Arabidopsis thaliana: one gene and its partners. The protein of the gene in region 2 interacts with the protein of the main gene of each other region in a pairwise test. Each region holds a gene or a part of one and is shown on either strand. Other genes may lie near its edges. The genes, in order: AT3G56270, EXO70H1, ADAP and AT5G51110.

Region 1 (4,630 bases), 430 kb from region 2:
GCAAACGTACCGTCAGATAGTTGACACTTGGAAAAGAGTAGCCCACGTGTTGGGAGTGGCACATTTTAGCCTGAGACAATGATTTTGCTAACCCACGCCACTCTTACTTTTCAACTTTATTTTTTAATTATTTATTTATTTAGTTCCTTTTCCTTCTTTTGGTTTCGTTTGGTCCCACGCTCTAAGCCAATACGAGGATTCCAGACGAAATCTTTGTTGTGAAGACTAAAACACGTGGCATTAAGTTATTGGAGATATCTAGATTGTCTTAAAAGCCTTGACCACGTCATCATTCTGTATCTGACCACTCCAAACTTATACAGTATAAAGTACAAACTGGTCAAATCGTAAAATGTGTTTTTATCTCCGTAGTTCAACCTGAATGTTTCAGTTTCTATTTTGAGAATCTAGAAACATTATAAAGACCAACGTTATTAAAAAATAAACAGTTGAGGACCTACGGTATTGATTATGGATCACCTAATTAGCTAATCTAACACTTAAAATGCATTAGTTAAGAAAGTGCCCACCACCTAAATCATATGATCAATGCCCTTCACTAACTCCCATAATTAATTATGATTACTAGAAGCTTTAGTTTTTACTATAATGTTTTTCTTTTTGTCACATTTGAGTCAAAACAACACATCTCACTCTAATCATCTGTGTTTTGCTTTTGATGGAAGCAACAACACCCATCAATGATCAAACCAAGAATAAAAAAAAACAGGAATCGAAATGTGCAAAACATGTTTTCAAAGGTTGGGTATTTTTTTAGCTTACTCTGTTTTTCTAATGGAAGCTTGATGTGTTTGTATGAACCTAAACTTTCTCCTCGGCGTGACCAACTGTTTCTCATCTTTTCGGTTAAGAGCATTACCCATTGAGACGTTACGTTTCAGCATTGGCTCAGGGAGATCGATCAGTGGCTCGTGCTGATTGATATGGCTCAAGAAAGAGCGCTGAGGAAAGCTTTCTCTTTTCATCGAGCGTTTTGCTCCAACAGCTTTCTGGTCTTTCCATGACTCTATGTTCCACTGCCGAAATGCCTCTTCTGCTTCAAGTTGCTTCACACTAGCGATTTCTACCCGGTTTAACGCAACTTCCAAGGCTTGTTTACTTTGTTTAACTTCTTCGTTAGCTTCCTCCAGCTTCCTCAAGATCTCTATTCTTGAGACATTGGTGGATAATTCTTTGTTCATCTGTGCTTTAAGTGTTAATGGAAAACATGGTGTCTTAGGGAAGCAGAGAGCGTCTTGGTTTCTTCTGCTGGATAATATGGTCATTTCAGCAAGCGCAAGTGCTTCCGCTGCTCTTGCTGCCTCTTCCATTTTTCTTGCAGCAACCAATCTCATATCTGCAGTTCTCGGGCAGGTTTTGCTCTGTTTATGGAAAGCTGTATCATAGGTTTCAACTACCATCTTAATCTGTTCACATTGTGGATTCACTGGTAAATTCTCGGTATTGAATCTCTCTACTTGATCAGGACCTGCTGGTTTAAACTTCAAACTGTTAAGTTCCTCCGCTAGAGACGCTACTCCAAGGACATCTTTCTCTTCCTTCGTTTTCATATTCAGAGATTCAGCATAAGAGTGGATCAACGCAAGATCATCCATGGTTTTACAAAGATTCATACCAGCTTGCTTCATTTCCATGGTCATCAGATCCGGAGACTTCAGGGGATTACGATGGCAGTGCTCATCGACCATCTCTTTGGAGTGTGAACGCAAATGTTGAGGGGTCTCCTTGCATCTCAGTGCTTGCTGCTGAAGCTGCCACTTCAAATCTTCAAAAATCCTTTTGGTTGATCCAAGAGCTTCAAGAAGATCCAGAGTCTCTAACTCTTTCATAATCAGATCCTTCTCAAGCTCCACTGTCTGTTCTTCCATTCTCTTTATGTCAAATTCTCCCACACAGTCCTGAAGAATGACAAACCAAAAAAACATAAAACAAATCATGCTATATAATACCAAAAAAAAATCTTACATAACATCTTGCTAGTTCCAGAATCAATTGCCGCAAATGCAAACATCAAATTAGCTATCACTTATTACAAAATATCTACTCAGTAACCAAATCGAATCAGCTATCAGTTATTCAGTTTGTTAGCATACTTAACAGTTAGAGAACATACATTTCAAACTTTCAGTGACATTAATGCTCAAACTTTAAATGAACAGACTTTGTAAATCGGAAACTAGAAGAGAACTCACGTAATTGTCTTCAAGATTGAAGGGAACCCAGAACCCACGACCACCATATAACTGTGGAGAAATGTCGATTTCAGCTCTCAAGCATCCTCTCCTTGTATTCTCCGGGTTGAAATTCTCGGACCCGGTTCCGGTTCTCACTTCCCGGATTACGGGTGTACCGGGAATCGTCTCCGCCGCAGGGCTCTGTTGCCTCTCCGCCATTTCCGTTAGCTCGAGAACGAATTGGTTTGTACAAGTGAAAGGGAAAGATAATGAAAGAGTGATCTATTTACAGTAATCATAGTTACTGATCAGAAGCAAACAAGATTGAGAGCTTCTCTATGATTGTGTTTTTCTCGGTAATGAAAGTCACTCACGAGAGAGACTCGAAGAACAAGAATGCAGGCTTTGATGATGCTACTACTAATGGCTGTGGCGACGTGGCTTCTATTGATTGGTTATCTGATTAATTAATAAATGAAAATTTTGGGCCGTTGATTAAGGAAGCGATATTGGGCCGTTGGTACGAAGTTCAAGTTCGTCTATATTGGGCTTTTTTGTGAAGGAAATTCTTACGTATGTGTTGTTTGTTTCTGTTCAAATACGAATATCCGAAAATTGTTATAATTTTCCCGTGCGATATTAGTGTATAGTAAATGTATGAGTGAAATAAATAGGTGGAGCTTTCCCTTATAGTTTTCTAACCAATTTGTGTGGCCATCACATTAAAGCAAAATCCGAGTAGGAGAAAACGGACCACGTACGAATACGATTGGAAACGACCATTAAATTATACGACCTCCCTCACTCAACCGTCCAAATTCATCACCGTCGTCTTTCGATCTCTCACGTTTCTATTTATTTCTCCGCATACGTTTCTTCCAACTAATTAGAACCGACAAATATATATATCTTTTCTAATTACTATTGTTGGGAGTTACCAGTTAGCACTTGACATTGGTACGTATTCAGATGGTTTGGTCTGACACTCTGAGTAGTTCCCTATTATATCCTATCTAAATTATCATTTCATTAAATGTAAACCATTATATCTTTTGGATGAACATGCCCCAAACTTTTGGTCAGTAGTTTCAAATTACGACAAACAAGGTTAGTAGTCTTGATATATATTAAAACGTGTGGATTTGTTGGTCAATAATTATTTCCTTAATTATAAGAACACCAAATAAAAAGGTTTATAGAGTGGAATCCCACAAAAGGTAACATATTAAATACTCTAAGCAATGCTTACTACAGTAACTGTTTACCAATAATGTGATCCTCACCTCACGACTCTCTTATTATTAATGAAAACGCATTAAGTAATGCATACAGTAAGATAGCCACCTTTCATTTATTATCTAACCAATTTTTTCCCCTATGTATGATCTTCCATATACTTGTAATATGCTCATCCATATGAATTTTTCCTAAAGAAAATAAAAAAGCAGAATAAATATCCACGATTATATACAACCGTGCAAAGAAGATTCTTTTGTTTCATCGGCAAACTTGTTTTACTCGCAATACATATTACTCTTTGTCACCTCTAAAGAAGCTTCGAAACTAGCACTTGTTGTTTCAATTTTCGTACATCAATTCTCATCAAAAGCCGACTCAAACATAAACCGAGAGTTTATAAAAAACAGATGTCAGAAAGACTAGAAGATGACTTTGCAATCGATGAAGAGAGATCCTCCTACTATGGCGGAGCCTCCATACCATTCATATGGGAGTCAAGGCCAGGAACACCCAAAAACCACCTCTGCTCCGATTCCTCTCTTCCTCTGCCTCTCACACCGCCGCCCTCATACTACTCCTCCGGGATTTTGTCGACACCAAGGACGCAAAGCAAGGTGAGATCAAAACTAAGTAAGTTTCTGTCCTTCTCCATGTTCAGTGATCTCAGGAGGAGCAATCACGGTAGCAAGAAGACGGCAAGCTCATCGTTTTCTTGGTCTTCTACGTCATCTTCATCTTCCTTTTCCTCCTCGCCACCACATTCTTTGAAAAAACGTATGAGTCACGACAAAAAATCGCCACTTCTGTACGCTAACTACGAAGAGGATGAGCTTAGGTCTTCACCAACCTCGACTCTGTGTTGCTCCAACGGGGGAAGACTTGGCTGTAGTTCTTCAATGGGGAGTGTGACAAGAGCTCTGTTCTCTGGGTCAATGGAGGGTATGAAGAGACATGAGACCACAGGTAAAGCTCTAATCATCAGCGACATGAATAAAGCTTGATTATGTGAATAAAGCTTGGTTTTTTCTATGAGCTGCTTCGCCTCATTGAACAGAGAGTGTTATAGTTATTGGTGTGTGAATGTAAGTATATAGTTTGTCTCTCAGTCGTGGCCTTACCTGTGTATTGTGGACAGGCTTTTTCGTCAATTCATGTCTAAGTAGAACCAAGAACGTTCTCCCACTGAAACGATGTTA
Region 2 (4,487 bases):
GAAATGTTTATATTATTCATCCAAAATGTTGGTTCGTGTCACACGATAATACACATTGTAGAAGGAAGACTAGAAGTAGAACCAGCTACATTAGAGTTTAATGTATCTATATAATAATAAGTCAAAAATACCCACTTGGATTATTATGTTCTTATCATTTTTGGGGTTATCAAAGATACTTTATAAACTTTTGACTTTTGCATTGGCATTGTCTTTACTCCGATGATCTACGCCTGAGAGTTGACCGCTTCACAGTCCAGTCTTCAAATTGTTTTCGCACTTACGATATCATTCATTTCTGATTCGTTAGGGCTCCCCCAAGCTTACAATCTTCCTTAGTAAAGTTTGGGAAAAAAACAAATAACATAAACATAATCAATCTCAATCTGAAACGAACTAAACACTACTATAGTTCATTTTCTCTCATATGTATATAACAAGATAATTGTCAAAACAAAAACTGTGAGTTGTAATCAAATGATGGCATTGATCAATAGTCATTGCTTTGTTGATTGAAGAAGATTCCACTTTTAAGGAAAAAAGACAGCTACAATAACTAAATTCTTTAAGGTTCGTTAGCAATGTAACCGAATACGTGAAGTAACACTAGCCATTGTTTAAAGAAAGAGAGTCGTCGAAACAAAACGTTGACTAGCTTATATGCTCTTATAATGATTTAGACAACTCACGTATATACGACGTTGAAGCCAAATTAGTTGAAATGTATATGTAAATGTAGTTGACTTTGGTAAGCGAATCTCCATTTTGGTCTTTTAAGAATCTGTAACGCCTGGAAATTGCCAATACCTCCGGTTCGTATATCTTTATATCATGATTTATGAGTGCGTATATTTGACTTTTTCTTGCAAAACCATACATACATAACATGCGAATGTCTTGTGTCTGTGTATATGATATCTAATGTATGGGAAAACTTGGAATATAGGTTTTATTTTCTTCTAGACAAGATCATGAAGTATAGTACGTATCTTTTATGATCATCTTTTTGGTCAGACGAAAGAATATTAGTTTTATATAATACATAATTTGTGATTTGTTTTTCTATCCTCTATAAGCACAAACATATACTATCAGATTATGACACATCAACAGTGCTAATATAACATTAGGCTGTAAAATCAACTTAAATATTTTGTAACACTTTTCTCTTAACTATTACAATAAACGTATAGCTGTTAGTTTGCAAGGACAGCGTTAACAACTTATTGTATCATAGTATTGATTCAAAACGTTAATTACTGTGATAACTATAACTTATTAACTGAAATGCAGACGTTGACAGACACACAAGAATTGAAATGTAGAAACGCGTTTATATAAGAGAACGCTAAATATATAAATTTCGGACTTTTCTAGTGAAACTCTATTAGTCTTCTTTTTTTTCTTTGGTCAAAAAACTTCCAATACGAAATTCGAACAAGAAGTATAATTAGTGATCAATAATGCGAATGATGCAATAAAAAGTCAAATGAAATGAAATTGATGAATTTAACTGTTATATAAAATTATAAGTTGACAGAATGAAATAGTCATATAATTCTAGTTCTAGACGTGGATAGCAAAAACTTTGTCGCCCATATGTATATAAAATTTGTACTCTAGTTATCTTTTAAGTATATAAGGCTTATATTATACATCGAAGTCAATGGTTCTTTGTGGTCTGGGTCTATAATCACAGGTAAGCACATCGTCATCGATTTCATTTTCAAAGTCAAGACCAATCTCGCTCTCTATATAATTGTTAAAAACCATCTTTCTAATTAAAATAGAAAGAGTAAAAGCCAAGTAACACCATTTTAAAAGGCTTCGCTTTCAATTCAGAAAGAAGAGAATAGAGAGCTTCTTCTTCTTCAATGGCGAAAATGGCGAAATTTTCTTTCTTCTCTTCGTCATCTCCTAAATATCATCCTTCTTCGCCTTCTTCATTCACTTCTTTCCCGGCTTCTCCTCTAAACCAGAACTTTACTCAGGCTATGATGGAGGAAACCGTGGAGACAGCGGACTCCGTCATCAGAAAATGGGACCCGAACACGCCTTCCTTCACCAAGATTGTCTCTCTGTTCAACCATAGCAGGAAGGAGGCTAAAGAGTTCATCAGATGTGTCCGTGATTTGCGCAGAGCGATGCACTTTCTTGTCTCTCAAGACTCTCAATCTCCAAAGCTTGCTCTAGCTCAGACCCTGATGCAGATCGCCATGGCAAGGCTCGAAAAAGAGTTCTTCCAGATATTATCTTCAAACAGAGACAAGCTTGATCCTGAATCAGTTTCCGGTCAATCCTCAATCTCCAGCAATTCTGAATTTGAAGATGTTATGGGATCTGACGACGACGATGAAAGTGACAATGAGATGAGGAAAGCTGGCGAATCGATCACTCAGGTTGAGAAAGCTTCAGCTATGGTGATGTCTGACCTTAAGGCGATAGCAGAGAGTATGATAAGTTGCGGATATGGTAAGGAGTGCGTAAAGATTTATAAGCGGGTCAGAAAATCTATTGTAGATGAAGGGCTGAGCTTGCTCGGGATTGAAATCTACAAAGGCTCCAGATTTCACAGAACGGACTGGGTCACGCTCGAGCATATGATCAAGAACTGGATAAAAGCTGCAAAGATTGGCATTGCCACGCTCTTCCGTGGAGAGAAACTTCTTTGTGATCATGTCTTTTCTGCTTCCAATTCAACAAGGGAGTCATGCTTCTACGAGATTGCAAACGAAGCAGCCACTAACCTTTTCAAGTTCCCTGAATTTGTTGCCAAGGAGAAGAAATCGCACGAGAGGATCTTCCCGCTAATGGATCTGCAGGCTGCAATCTCTGATCTCTGGCAAGACATAGAGATGATATTCCACTTTGATGCAGTAGCTGGTGTGAAATCTCAGGCGCTCACATCGCTGCAAAAACTAAAGGTCTCAATCCACAGTGCTCTCACGGATTTTGAATCAATCATTCAGAAAGATACGACGAAAGCTCTAACACCTGGAGGAGGGATTCATAAACTGACACGATCAACAATGAACTTCATCTCTTCCCTTTCTAAGTACAGCGGAGTCTTGTCGGAAATCCTAGCAGACCATCCACTCCCGAGAAACACTCGCCTGCTGGAATCCTATGTCAGAGCTCCAATTTCGGAAGATGAACAACACAATCACGCACTCTCTGTCCATTTTGCTTGGCTAATCCTGGTTTTGCTATGCAAACTAGACACCAAAGCAGAGCATTACAAGGATGTTTCTTTGTCTTACCTTTTCCTTGCAAACAACCTTCAGATCATCATTGAAACGGTTGGTTCAACTCCCCTAAGGAATCTCCTTGGAGATGATTGGCTCAATAAGCACGAAGATAAACTCTGCGCTTATGCTGGGAATTATGAGATAGCAGCATGGTCCAATGTTTTCATGTCTTTACCAGAAGAACCCACAGACCTATCACCAGAGGAAGCTAAAATATATTTCAGAAGATTTCACACGGCATTTGAGGAAGCATATATGAAACAATCATCACGAGTTGTACCAAATGCGAAACTTAGGGACGAACTAAAGGTTTCAATAGCAAAGAAACTTGTACCAGAATACAGAGAGTTTTACAGGAAGTACTTACCAATGCTCGGCCAGGAGAGAAACATTGAGATCTTGGTGAGATTCAAGCCAGATAATTTGGAGAATTACATCTCTGATCTTTTCCACGGTACACCAATTCATGCATCCTCTTCTTTTTCTTCATCTTCTTCCTCTTCATCCTGGAAATCACTTGGGTGTGTTTCAGGCTGAGAGACTTGATCCATAGTTTTGGCTAAATATTCCATTTTTTACATGATGTGAAGTGAAAAAAATGTAGATACGTGTGTTTGCATTGTGTGTGCAACAGAAAATGAGAACAAAAAAAAAAAAATGAGATTTTCTTTACATAATTTATGACGAGTTCTTCATTATCTAAGAAAAAACAAACTTGCGATACGCTTTAAGAATAAAACGAGTAGTCTCTAATAACCGAAGCTGATATAAATCTGATAAAGAATTCGATTCAGTGATATACATTCAAGAAGCCAATTACAAATCACAAAGAAGAAAAAGGCATAAAAAATCACACACAGCATACTGTAAACATAATGTGCTGAAGAACAAAAGCATTATTCACTCCTTCAATAACTAGAAAAAGAAGGAAATATGATATGCAAGAAAACATTTGAATCGCAACTATTACTTAGGAACTCCATGATCAGAAGGACGGGACAAAGATTGCCAACCGGTACAAATTTGCATGATTTGCTTGAGAGTTTCTGATGGTGGCTCCACAGTCCATGTTGGGTAGTGTTCACTTGGATGGAATACACATTCTTCACTGGCTCCTGTCATCAAGGAAGGTTGAGCTCCATTCAAGAACAAGTCATTTTCAGATCGTACTAACCCAGTTCTCGCTTCTTCCTTGTCAGCAGCCTACAAACAAACTCACACAAGATGATGGTGGTGGAT
Region 3 (5,818 bases), on a different chromosome or scaffold from region 2:
CTCGGTGAAGAACTTTCAGCTAACACTCACGGTGCATTTCCACAACTTTAAAGCTTTGATCAAAAACCAATCTCAAGAATCCTAAACATTGTGTAATTTGGTATAAGCAGGAGACTCCAAGGCAGACAATTCTTCAAATGGGGAGAGTTGACAAAGCAAGATATGTAATCGACTTCAGGTACTACTTGCTCAAACCAGAATGAGCCAAACATAAACATACTTATAAGCTTAGGATTAAAGGCTTTATCATCTAAAAGTCTTTTGCTTTATCTGTTTGCAGGTATCCATTCTCAGGCTACCAAGCATTCTGCATTTGCTTGGCTTCTATTGATTCCAAGCTTTGTTGTACTGTTTGATCATTAATAAACGGACGAGTTCAATCTCTGAACATCCCTCCAATGATCATCATCTGTATACCTTACTTTTCTACATAAACAATTCCTCTATCTGAGTTTCACAAACTACCTCAGTACCTCTCAAATCAAATTCACCATCAGAGGAAACTGAAAGTGGACAACTGTTAAAAAGATTCAAACTTTATTATATAAGATTGTCACAAGAAAGAATAATCGATGTGTCAATGTTGATTTTCACAACCGAGATTCTGAACAACTAAAAAACAAAACTTATCAGAAGAACAACACTTTAGCAATCATTTAACTCGCTGTAGAAATCAGGCGTAAGGAAAGAATCTAAATCACCGAAGATAACATCATCTTCCTCCGCCGTTAACTTGCCGGAGTTTTGACACCCGAAATACGTCTGGATATCTTCCGGGAAGCTCCGACGAGGCGGAGCAATCTCAGGTGGCGTCGATGGTCCGATTACCTCCTCTGCCACTAAAGGTGACGACTTCAAGAGCTTTGTTTTCCGATCATCGTTGTCCTCTGACGAAGATTGACTCTGTGATAAGTCAGACTCGTGGTTAGGTTTTATAAATGGGCTAAGATCAGAATGCGGACTCTCGAGGAGATTATTCGCGGTATCGATAGGGTTCTCCGGCACCGGGAGTTTCAGATAACGGCTGATGTCGAAGTTAGTAACGGCGTTGAGTCCACGGTACTCGATAGCTGCGATATCGTACGCTATAGCTGCTTCTTCTTGCGTCGCTACAATAAAAGGGGTGCAAAATGTCACATTGAGAAGTTTAAGACAATTTATGAAACTTCTAATTCTTTGGTTTGTTAATTATTACGTTTTACTCCCCAAACTATTATGGATTTGCCTAATACGTAATATTGTGCTACACAAGTGAATAATGCCAACAACAACAAAATGAAAATGCTACAAGTCAATAATCACGTTAGATTTTTTTGAAAATGTACTTTGTCCCGTTGATATAGGACAATATGTAAAACATATAATAAATAGAATTAAATTGGCCAGTAAAATTGGATGAGCAACTTATAATTTAAACCATACAATAAATAAATATGTATAAACATAAGGAAAAACAAACTCTATAATAAATTAAAGGCTTGACTAAGTGGTTGGGTTTGGTGATCTATTTCCCAACCAACACAAGATCTGATTACGTGCATATATCAACCCCTTATTAAAGATTTCAAAGTAAAAATGTTTGGTTATAATGAAGAGAGAATCCCACATATAGCATTTGTAGAATTTGTTGTTATCACAACTACCATTTACCACCATCCAATTTAGTGAATGTTTATAATTTGTAATCAAAATATATATGTATCATACAATCTTTTTGGTTAGGAAACTAACCACTAATAAACTCAAATGCAGGAGTAGTTTGATAAAACATTAGTGAAAACGTACAAGTTTGATCAAATGTGTCAAATGATAATCGCATATTTACTTCTACTTGTCTTGAATTTCATCTAGTTATGTTTTGCGTTTGGAGATATCATGTTTTTTTCATTAATTACTGTATATAAAAAATAAAAAAGTTTTCAAAAAGTTACCGTAAGTTCCAAGGTATAAATATTTATTGCCAAACACTCTTCCGATTCGAGCTTCCCATCTCCCATTGTGGTGATGCCTGCAAGTCCATAATAACTTATCAAACATTTGAAATTAGTAATATTGAAATTGATCATTGTTCTTATAGTCTTTTATTATGGGGAATTAAAGTCGGTTTACTTTGCAACGCCTCTGTATTTTGATACACCTCGTGAAAACCCACTACTTTTTCTGTAAAAAATCATCCAAAAAATATTATTAATCAATACTTAGTTTGTTAACCAAAAGAAAGCAGAGAATTATAGTTAACCACCAATCATTCAAAAAAGTGATTTAGTTATTACCTTCTCAAAGATCCAATATACTCTTCCTTTGACTGGCTTTCCATTTCTTTGATGTCTTCTTCATAATTACACAACTATAAATCACACACAAAATAAACAATAGTTATTAGAACTATAAAAAAAAAAAAAGAAGAAGCAAGAATTAGATATAAACAGACTCTTCTTCTTTCTTTGTGTTTCTTTCTATAAGAACACATATGTAAGAAAGATTGTGAAGCAAACAAAGATCATGTGAATAGTAACTACTTTCTAATTATTTAATGTTTTTAAGTATTAACTAGGATTCCGAGAAAATTTACAGGGAAGTTCAAGATGGTGTCTCGTCCCCAATATTTCAATGCTGCTAAGTCGTAGGCACGTGCTGCTGCATCTTCCTCGTCATATGCCCCTGTGCAAACCACATTAATACATTAATTAAACATTGGTTTAAATCTTGATTTCTTTTCATTTACGTATTAAAATACTATATATTACGTAAATATTTTCTTAAAAAACTACATATGTCAATTGTAAACATAAAGGTGAAGTAGCAAAAATGTTTGGGGTTGATTTTCAATTTGTGACTAAGCACATTTGAAAAAGACAAATCGAAATGTACTTTTAAGAATTATCAGATCATTTGTTTGTTTTTGTCACGCCATAGATGTTAACATGTATGCTTTTGTTTAGAACCACCAAGTTGGCTTTATAAAGAACTGAGAAGTAACGTTTGTTTTTTTATAATTAGAGGTGATAATTAATTAGCATCACTCACTCTAAAAAGTGTCTACCAATTTGAGAGTGCAAAAAGAAAACGCCATATGAAAAATGACCAAAACAAACTCACCTAAATATACTGCACGTGATGAGTCAGCCATTATTCCGGTCAGCATCGTCAGCAAAACCAAAAAAAAAAACATATTAACCAACAAGAACAAAAAATACAAAATAAGATATAATTAATTTTCAAATCAAGAACAGTAACGACGAACTCATTCCCCGGAGAAATCGGAGTTGAAGATCAAAACGACAATATCTTTAATAACTCATAAAGATATATAGATATGTGTGTATGTATAGACTGACCTTGTCTTCCTTTCTTGGTCTGAGTTTCGTTCCAACTATTCTTATCCCACAAATGTGCTTCGTACCTTCCAGTCCATCGATGCCTATAATCGGAAAGTTATATGATTAAGTAAAGATAAACAAAAACGGTGACGTTTTGAGTGTGTTTTGTTCTCATGTTAACCTTGTGACGCCTCTATGGACGGAGCTACGTTGGGGTGGAGCGTCTCGTGGTTGCGATCGGCGTTTGCGTTTAGCTTTAAGGACTACTGATGTTGCTGACTGATCATCGCCGGTTTCATTCTCAACCGAAGTTTTTTTGCTCTGCCGTGTGATGTCTTCCATTACCGGAGAAACTTCGACGGCGATGAACATAAAAGAAGAGGAAGAAGAAGAAGAAGAAAACAACAAGGATGAGAAATTGATGGAATGGTTTTTGTTTTTGTTTTATAAGGAAACTATAAAGAGAAATGGTTGAGTATTTAAAATTATAATTTTCCGTTTTATTTTTTTTAGCCTTTTTAATTGCTATTGCTTTAAAAGATTTCCTTTGCTACGGCCCTCTTTGTACTTCTGTAATTAGATTTCTCATTTATTAAAATTCCTAATCGTAATCAAACCATTTAGACCTGATATTAAGCGATTTAGCCATTTTATTTGTTTTCAATATATAGCTTTTAATTCGTGTTTTTAATTCAGAACAAATGAGGAATTGACATGTGGAAGTTTAGATCCGCTGAGCCAAAAATCTTGGAGAAAGTAGGCAAGCAAAATCGGAGCTTCATAATTTCTCCACTTCTTGGTTTATCTACTTTTTGGTCGGGCCGTGAAAGATATATAATGTAATGCTAAAGAACGATCTTATTATTATTATTATATAGTTTACATTTTTTTGTTCCATTATATTTAATATTTCCTTCCAATTATTTTAGCAATCGTTTTGCTCTAAAAACACATTTCCAAGTAATATGATAATAACATTGCTAAACTCCTAGTTCTCTAATTCCAAATTCCTAATTAATTGATGGAATGGAACAGAGACTTACCACCGAAATATTTGAATTATGTTCTAAAAATATGCAAAATATAACATGTAATGCATATGCATCTTTAACCCAAACAAAACAAAAAAATTTGCAAGAAATAAGGCAATAGCCTTAATTAAACTTTAAACATTGGAACTCCCATATATTTTGAGTATATGTTTAGGTTTTTTTTTATAACAGAAAGTAGAACATCATTATAAAAGTTACATGATGAACGTCATGTTTTTACGAGTGCATTTCTTATAAGGTTAATACAGTGTTTTCTTATAGTTTTTTATTGAATAACACAAATTGTAATTTAATGTGTATACCTGCCCCTTAACTAGATGGGAGCAAATGTCAACAATTATGGTAAAAATGGTCTACAACAGTCCAATCTAAAACGGGCCACATGATATTTTGCGTGTTAAGATATGCAACTAATCAGCAACTTAAGAAATACACTTGACAAAATATCAAATTTGATATATCTATTTAGAACCTAATGAGATTGGGAATAACACCATACTTGTTGAAATATGAATTACGAATTATAAATAGATAAGACAACATAAATAAAAACATTATTTTAATTTGTCCACATAATTAGTTCGTCCCCTACTCTAACAACTAATCAAAAATATACATTGATCTGACATACAACCAATGAACTCCAAATATATAACATTTTATCATTTCGTTAATATAACTTATAGTCTAACGTTTAGTGGTATGAGTTTTCTTGTAATTATGTTTTAACTTGTCTACAAACTTGAAACCAATATTTTTTTTAGTTGTCTACAGGAAAAAAAGAAGAGAAAACGATGCATGAGATATAAATGAGAAATGCAAGCAAGGCAATGGTCACCGCCTAGTTTCGGGTATGCCATCTTTTTACGGCGTTGGTCCATGTTTCAGAGGTTGCACTTGGCAGCATTTAACCATATACGTGAAACGATGACACAACTGAGGTCCTGTCAGCCAATAATTACACGCCACGTCATCCGACAGAGTCTGGCCGTGGTAGATGACTCGTACAGTCAAATACTGTGCTTCGCAAGTTCGCATCAGTCCCAACTATTTGCATACGAAATCTAGATTTAACAGAAATAAAATAGGAGAATCTTTTCTTTTCCTTTTTTGATTCAAAAGGAGAAGTTTTCTATCCTTTTATTTTTGTTAGTTTTCTAAATTCTAACGGTTGTCGGCTGCGTATATAGAGATGCTTATTATCATTTACAATTTCCCTACGTTCGTCTGAATTTTGTCTTTCAAGTCTGTGATCGTTGTTGACTTTAGAATGTTGCAATTCTCTTGAACACTTGATTCGATGTGGAATATAACAAAATTTGTCCAAGCTAACAAAAACCTTTGCCCTATTGTTGTCTCTCCATCTAGCAATCAAGTCAAAACAAAATGACACTCATTCTGCCGATCCAGAGACGATCAATCTATTCTAGGCTAGCTTCAAATTCT
Region 4 (4,248 bases), on a different chromosome or scaffold from region 2:
TTAATTTATTTGATAAATAAGAAATCTTTCTATAAGCTAAATATTTAGAAATCCGAAAATATTATTTTTGGATGGTGTATTTAATATTAAAATATGTTTGGTTTAAAAAATAATAAGGATAAGGATAAGGATAGTGGAATTAATAGTGTTTGACAATGAGTATATTATATTCAATAAATGAAAAATAAAAATGATGAGAACAATTATGGGCTTGCCACATCTTTTACTATATAGAGGATTCCAAAAAGTTGGAAGAAAAACAATTCCTAAATTGAAAAGATTTTTTTCTTTTTCTTGCTATGAATGTAAATAAAATCTCAAAAAAAAAATTAGGAGATGATATATATCAAGATGAATAAAGACGAAAGAGACTTAAAATTTGTTACTGCTTCCCTTCTGTCATCTTTGTATTATTTCCTATCATATTGTTAGGAAAGATTTATTTCTTTACATATGAGAAATATGACAGCATCAAATTCAATGTGCATCAAACGTTTTGACTATTTTTGATTTTCTTCCAAAATTAAAACGACAAATTTGATTTTGAAAGCAACTTTTAAAAATACGTTTCGCCAAACTAATTACAGTATAAATTGGATCTCATAGCCAATAACTTTATCTCATCAAACAAAACTCAAGTCATCTATTTCTCTTGTTGCATAGTCCCCCAAATATTCATCATGTCGATCAAGAGTGTTGTTTCTCTCCTAGTAGTTGTATGCATCGCAGCCTCCGTTAATGCTCAGCTACCGCAGTTTCCCCCAATCATGTTCCCGTTTCCAAATCCGTTCAAACCAAGTCCCGGTATGGCAGGAAGTCCCGACTTGAGCAAATGTTGGTCAACAGTGATGGATTTGCCGGGATGCTTTGAAGAGATTCAACAAGCCGTAATGTCCGGCAAATTTGAAGGCGTTGGTCCTGCTTGTTGTAAAGCTTTCCTTGACGCTGAAGCTAACTGCTTACCAAATCTTCCATCCAACCCGTTTTTCCCTCCTATGATGAAACACCAATGCTCCAAAATGGCTAGTCCTCCAACCACCACCGCCTATTAGAATGCAAAAATGTAGTTGTGTTTTTTCGAATTTTTTGTTAGTCCCAGAATGTTCTAGAAGAAGAAATGATAATAATAATGTCTTAATCTAATAATAATGTCTCATTTCTTATATTGTGCTCCATATGATTGATGTTCTTTCTTCTTTTGATTGATGAATGAATCTCAAAGACATGTTGCGTGATATCTCTTATGCGGTTATGACAATGCTTTCTATATAACTCGACATGTAGACCGATCACACACAATTTAGAATACATCACATACATTACATACTATCAAACAAAAATGTTCCAAAATAATGAAAAGAAGATCACGCCCAAGCTCTTTTCCTAGGGGAAAGATCAGAAGTCTTGATATCATCTATTTTAGCCGCCATTATGAAATCATTCATGCTCAACCCTCCTGCATTATTCATCCAACAAACCGTCTTAAGAAACCATATATTAAAACTCAAACTCGAACATCAAATATTTGACATACCGATAGAAGAGGTAAATAGTTCAGCTCGAACTTGGGTAGGACTTTCCAAGTGAAGAGAAGGGTAATGACCAGAAGCTTCAGCAACCTTATGGATCCTGTTTATGAGTTCAACACCGCACCCAAAATCCCTCACTTTCCACATACACCTTATTTTCAGACCACCCGCTTCATTATCCACTATACTCCATCCCAAAACCTAAAACGTTTACATAATAATCATTGAGATTGATGTACCACATCATTAGAGTGGTAACCGTGAACCAAAACACCAACATGAGCCTTATCAACACTAATCATTTCATTTTTTTTTAATCTCGTAACCATTGTTCCTAATATGTCCCTCATGATACTAAAATTTTCATTGGCTTTTCTATATTTTTGGGTCACAATTCTATCTTTATAGATTAGAAATCTGTTAAACGCAGAATCAATAACATTTTCACAATATTTTGATCAACCAACAAACTTGTAAAATCAAAACTCGAACATTTTTATACTAAGAGAGAAATAGTATAAGTACCTTGTGGAGGAGAGTTCTGGCATCATCGCCGGACAAAGGAGGCTGTGAAGACGAAACAGGGGAACACTGAAGCTGGGAGAGAGACAAAACAGATGCGTTTGGTATCAAAATCTTGTGCTCAGTGCTTTGGCATCCCAACACTTTATCTCCGAATTGACTCGCTATCTCCTCCGGGTAAGGGTCACGAGCTCCGAAGTCACCAAGAAAATCCTGCGCCAGATTAGACCGGGTCACCGTTAACCGGCCGAGTTTACGGTTATTCCTACTTACAGGTGGTAATAAACCGAACACTTTAAGGATTGAGCGAGAAGGTTGACGGAGGAGGAGGGAGGACGCGGAGATGTTACACGGCGGTGATGATGACGTGGCGGCCATCGGGAGCTGTGATTTGCTCTGTACCGAAGATAAGAGTTTTGGTTTTTAGAGAGCGAAACGATTTTCAGACCACTGGACTGAGTTAAATGGGTGAGGTGCCACGTAATCACTAATGACTAATGGGAACCACAATAAACTTTCGTGGGACCGACTTTACACGTCACGTTTTAATCTGAGAAGCCCATTGGGTTTGATTGTACTTTTGTGTCCACTTTTGGTGAATCTACTTAAGATTTCATAATTCCGAAAGTATCCTTTTTGGGTATCTTTAATTACAAACAAACCTTCCCTTCTTTCCCGATTTCAAGCCCTAAAATTCCGAGACTTCTGTTTCTCGCTTTAACGACAGTCGCCGAGTGAGAGATATAGAGAGAGAAAGATGCCGGTGCACGATGAGCAAGAGCATGAGGTGTACGGTGGAGAGATCCCAGAAGAGGAAGAAGGTGAGATGGATACGGAAGAGTACGAAGAACACGGCGGAGAAGAAGGTGCCGCCGCCGGAGATGAGGAGCTTGAACCTGGCTCTAGCTCTAGGGTATTGTGATTCTTCGATCTATAATTTACTTTTATCCAATTGAGACTCTTCTTATTTTTTACTGTATTTAGTCTGTTATTTGCTTTGATTGTTTGATAGGACTTGGAGGATATGAAGAAACGAATTAAGGAGATTGAGGAAGAAGCTGGAGCTTTGCGTGAAATGCAAGCCAAGGCTGAGAAAGATATGGGTGCTAGTCAAGGTTTGTACTTATTAACTGATACGTAAAATCTTGAATCTTTGTGCGCAGCTTCACATTAACCTTTAAATTGATAGATTAGGTTTAAAGCTTGTCTTGTTGATTATGATATTGCTTTGGGTTTACATATTGGAATCTTTTAGTGAATCAATGAATCTGTCTAGAAATTTACTGGAGTTTGAGTATGAGAAGGAAATCATTAATAGTATTGTGGAGTCTTGTCAGTTAGCTAATTGGGTCAATACCTTTTATGTTGTTGCATATCAATGAAGACCCTTCAGGTGGTGTTAGTGCGGCTGAGAAGGAAGAAGTGGATTCGCGTTCAATATATGTTGGCAATGTGAGGCTTGTTCCACCATTAATTTTCACATGTTTCTCATATATGTTTGTATCTTTTTTAAAGAAAGTTTGTGTGTTTTATTGCTTTGGTATCAATGAAATTTGGAGGCTGCTTGTTGTTTATTTCTTTATCTCTAGTAATTGCTAAACTAACTTTCCTTCATATTTCAGAAAGCCTTCATATCTCCCATCTGTGAAGCTGATTCTTTAGATATCCTGTGTCTTTGTTTTTTTGTGTATATTAGGTGGACTATGCATGTACTCCAGAGGAAGTCCAGCAGCATTTTCAATCATGTGGGACAGTGAATAGGGTTACAATTCTGACAGATAAGTTTGGTCAACCTAAAGGTTTTGCGTATGTCGAATTTGTGGAAGTAGAAGCTGTTCAGAATTCGCTTATTTTGAACGAGTCAGAACTACATGGTCGTCAGATAAAGGTGCAAACTCGTTCAATACGATGTAGTTAATTATTTTCCATATTACGATTTGTCATTACTAAACTTTGTTTAATCTATTTTCAGGTATCTGCAAAGAGGACTAATGTACCTGGAATGAGGCAATTTCGAGGAAGAGGGCGTCCCTTTAGACCGATGAGGGGATTCATGCCAGGAGTTCCATTTTATCCTCCATATGCTTATGGGTGTGTTCTAGAACCTTACCTGCCTATCCTCTCTTTTAAAGTCCATTTGTTTGATTCATCATGGTTGTTCATAAAATTGACAATGGTTGATGGTTTGTGCAGGAGA

Evidence for each region.
Region 1: the proteins of EXO70H1 (region 2) and AT3G56270 interact in a two-hybrid assay, tested with the Arabidopsis thaliana proteins (one large-scale study listed by BioGRID).
Region 3: the proteins of EXO70H1 (region 2) and ADAP interact in a two-hybrid assay, tested with the Arabidopsis thaliana proteins (one large-scale study listed by BioGRID).
Region 4: the proteins of EXO70H1 (region 2) and AT5G51110 interact in a two-hybrid assay, tested with the Arabidopsis thaliana proteins (one large-scale study listed by BioGRID).

The regions. Positions count from the first base shown.
Region 1 is NC_003074.8:20,868,004-20,872,633, reverse strand, and holds AT3G56270 (WEB family protein (DUF827)), read right to left. Parts: upstream 2,635-4,630; 5' UTR 2,415-2,634; coding exon 2,214-2,414; intron 1,920-2,213; coding exon 780-1,919; 3' UTR 527-779; downstream 1-526. Other genes in the region: AT3G56260 (uncharacterized protein), read left to right, coding at 3,842-4,435; AT3G56250 (uncharacterized protein), read right to left, coding at 4,478-4,552.
Region 2 is NC_003074.8:20,439,953-20,444,439, reverse strand, and holds EXO70H1 (exocyst subunit exo70 family protein H1), read left to right. Parts: upstream 1-1,789; 5' UTR 1,790-1,874; coding exon 1,875-3,785; 3' UTR 3,786-3,949; downstream 3,950-4,487. Other genes in the region: AT3G55140 (Pectin lyase-like superfamily protein), read right to left, coding at 4,215-4,451.
Region 3 is NC_003070.9:5,506,437-5,512,254, reverse strand, and holds ADAP (ARIA-interacting double AP2 domain protein), read right to left. Parts: upstream 3,945-5,818; 5' UTR 3,693-3,944; coding exon 3,502-3,692; intron 3,422-3,501; coding exon 3,339-3,421; exon of another isoform or gene 3,173-3,338; coding exon of another isoform or gene 3,109-3,172; coding exon 3,100-3,108; intron 2,964-3,099; exon of another isoform or gene 2,662-2,963; coding exon 2,573-2,661; exon of another isoform or gene 2,348-2,572; coding exon 2,274-2,347; intron 2,161-2,273; coding exon 2,110-2,160; intron 2,087-2,109; exon of another isoform or gene 2,038-2,086; coding exon of another isoform or gene 2,009-2,037; coding exon 1,932-2,008; exon of another isoform or gene 1,110-1,931; coding exon 646-1,109; 3' UTR 520-645; downstream 1-519. Other genes in the region: TLP8 (tubby like protein 8), read left to right, coding at 1-31, 111-178, 281-356; AT1G16040 (phosphatidylinositol-glycan biosynthesis class F-like protein), read right to left, coding at 5,799-5,818.
Region 4 is NC_003076.8:20,776,952-20,781,199, forward strand, and holds AT5G51110 (Transcriptional coactivator/pterin dehydratase), read right to left. Parts: upstream 2,538-4,248; 5' UTR 2,430-2,537; coding exon 2,055-2,429; intron 1,731-2,054; coding exon 1,535-1,730; intron 1,457-1,534; coding exon 1,365-1,456; 3' UTR 1,053-1,364; coding exon of another isoform or gene 681-1,052; 3' UTR 550-680; downstream 1-549. Other genes in the region: AT5G51105 (ECA1 gametogenesis family protein (DUF1278)), read left to right, coding at 681-1,052; PABN1 (polyadenylate-binding protein 1), read left to right, coding at 2,809-2,964, 3,064-3,166, 3,246-3,368, 3,445-3,503, 3,748-3,939, 4,024-4,142, 4,245-4,248. UniProt on the Arabidopsis thaliana protein: Involved in tetrahydrobiopterin biosynthesis. Interacts with and acts downstream of the E3 ubiquitin-protein ligase SDIR1 in abscisic acid (ABA) and salt stress signaling.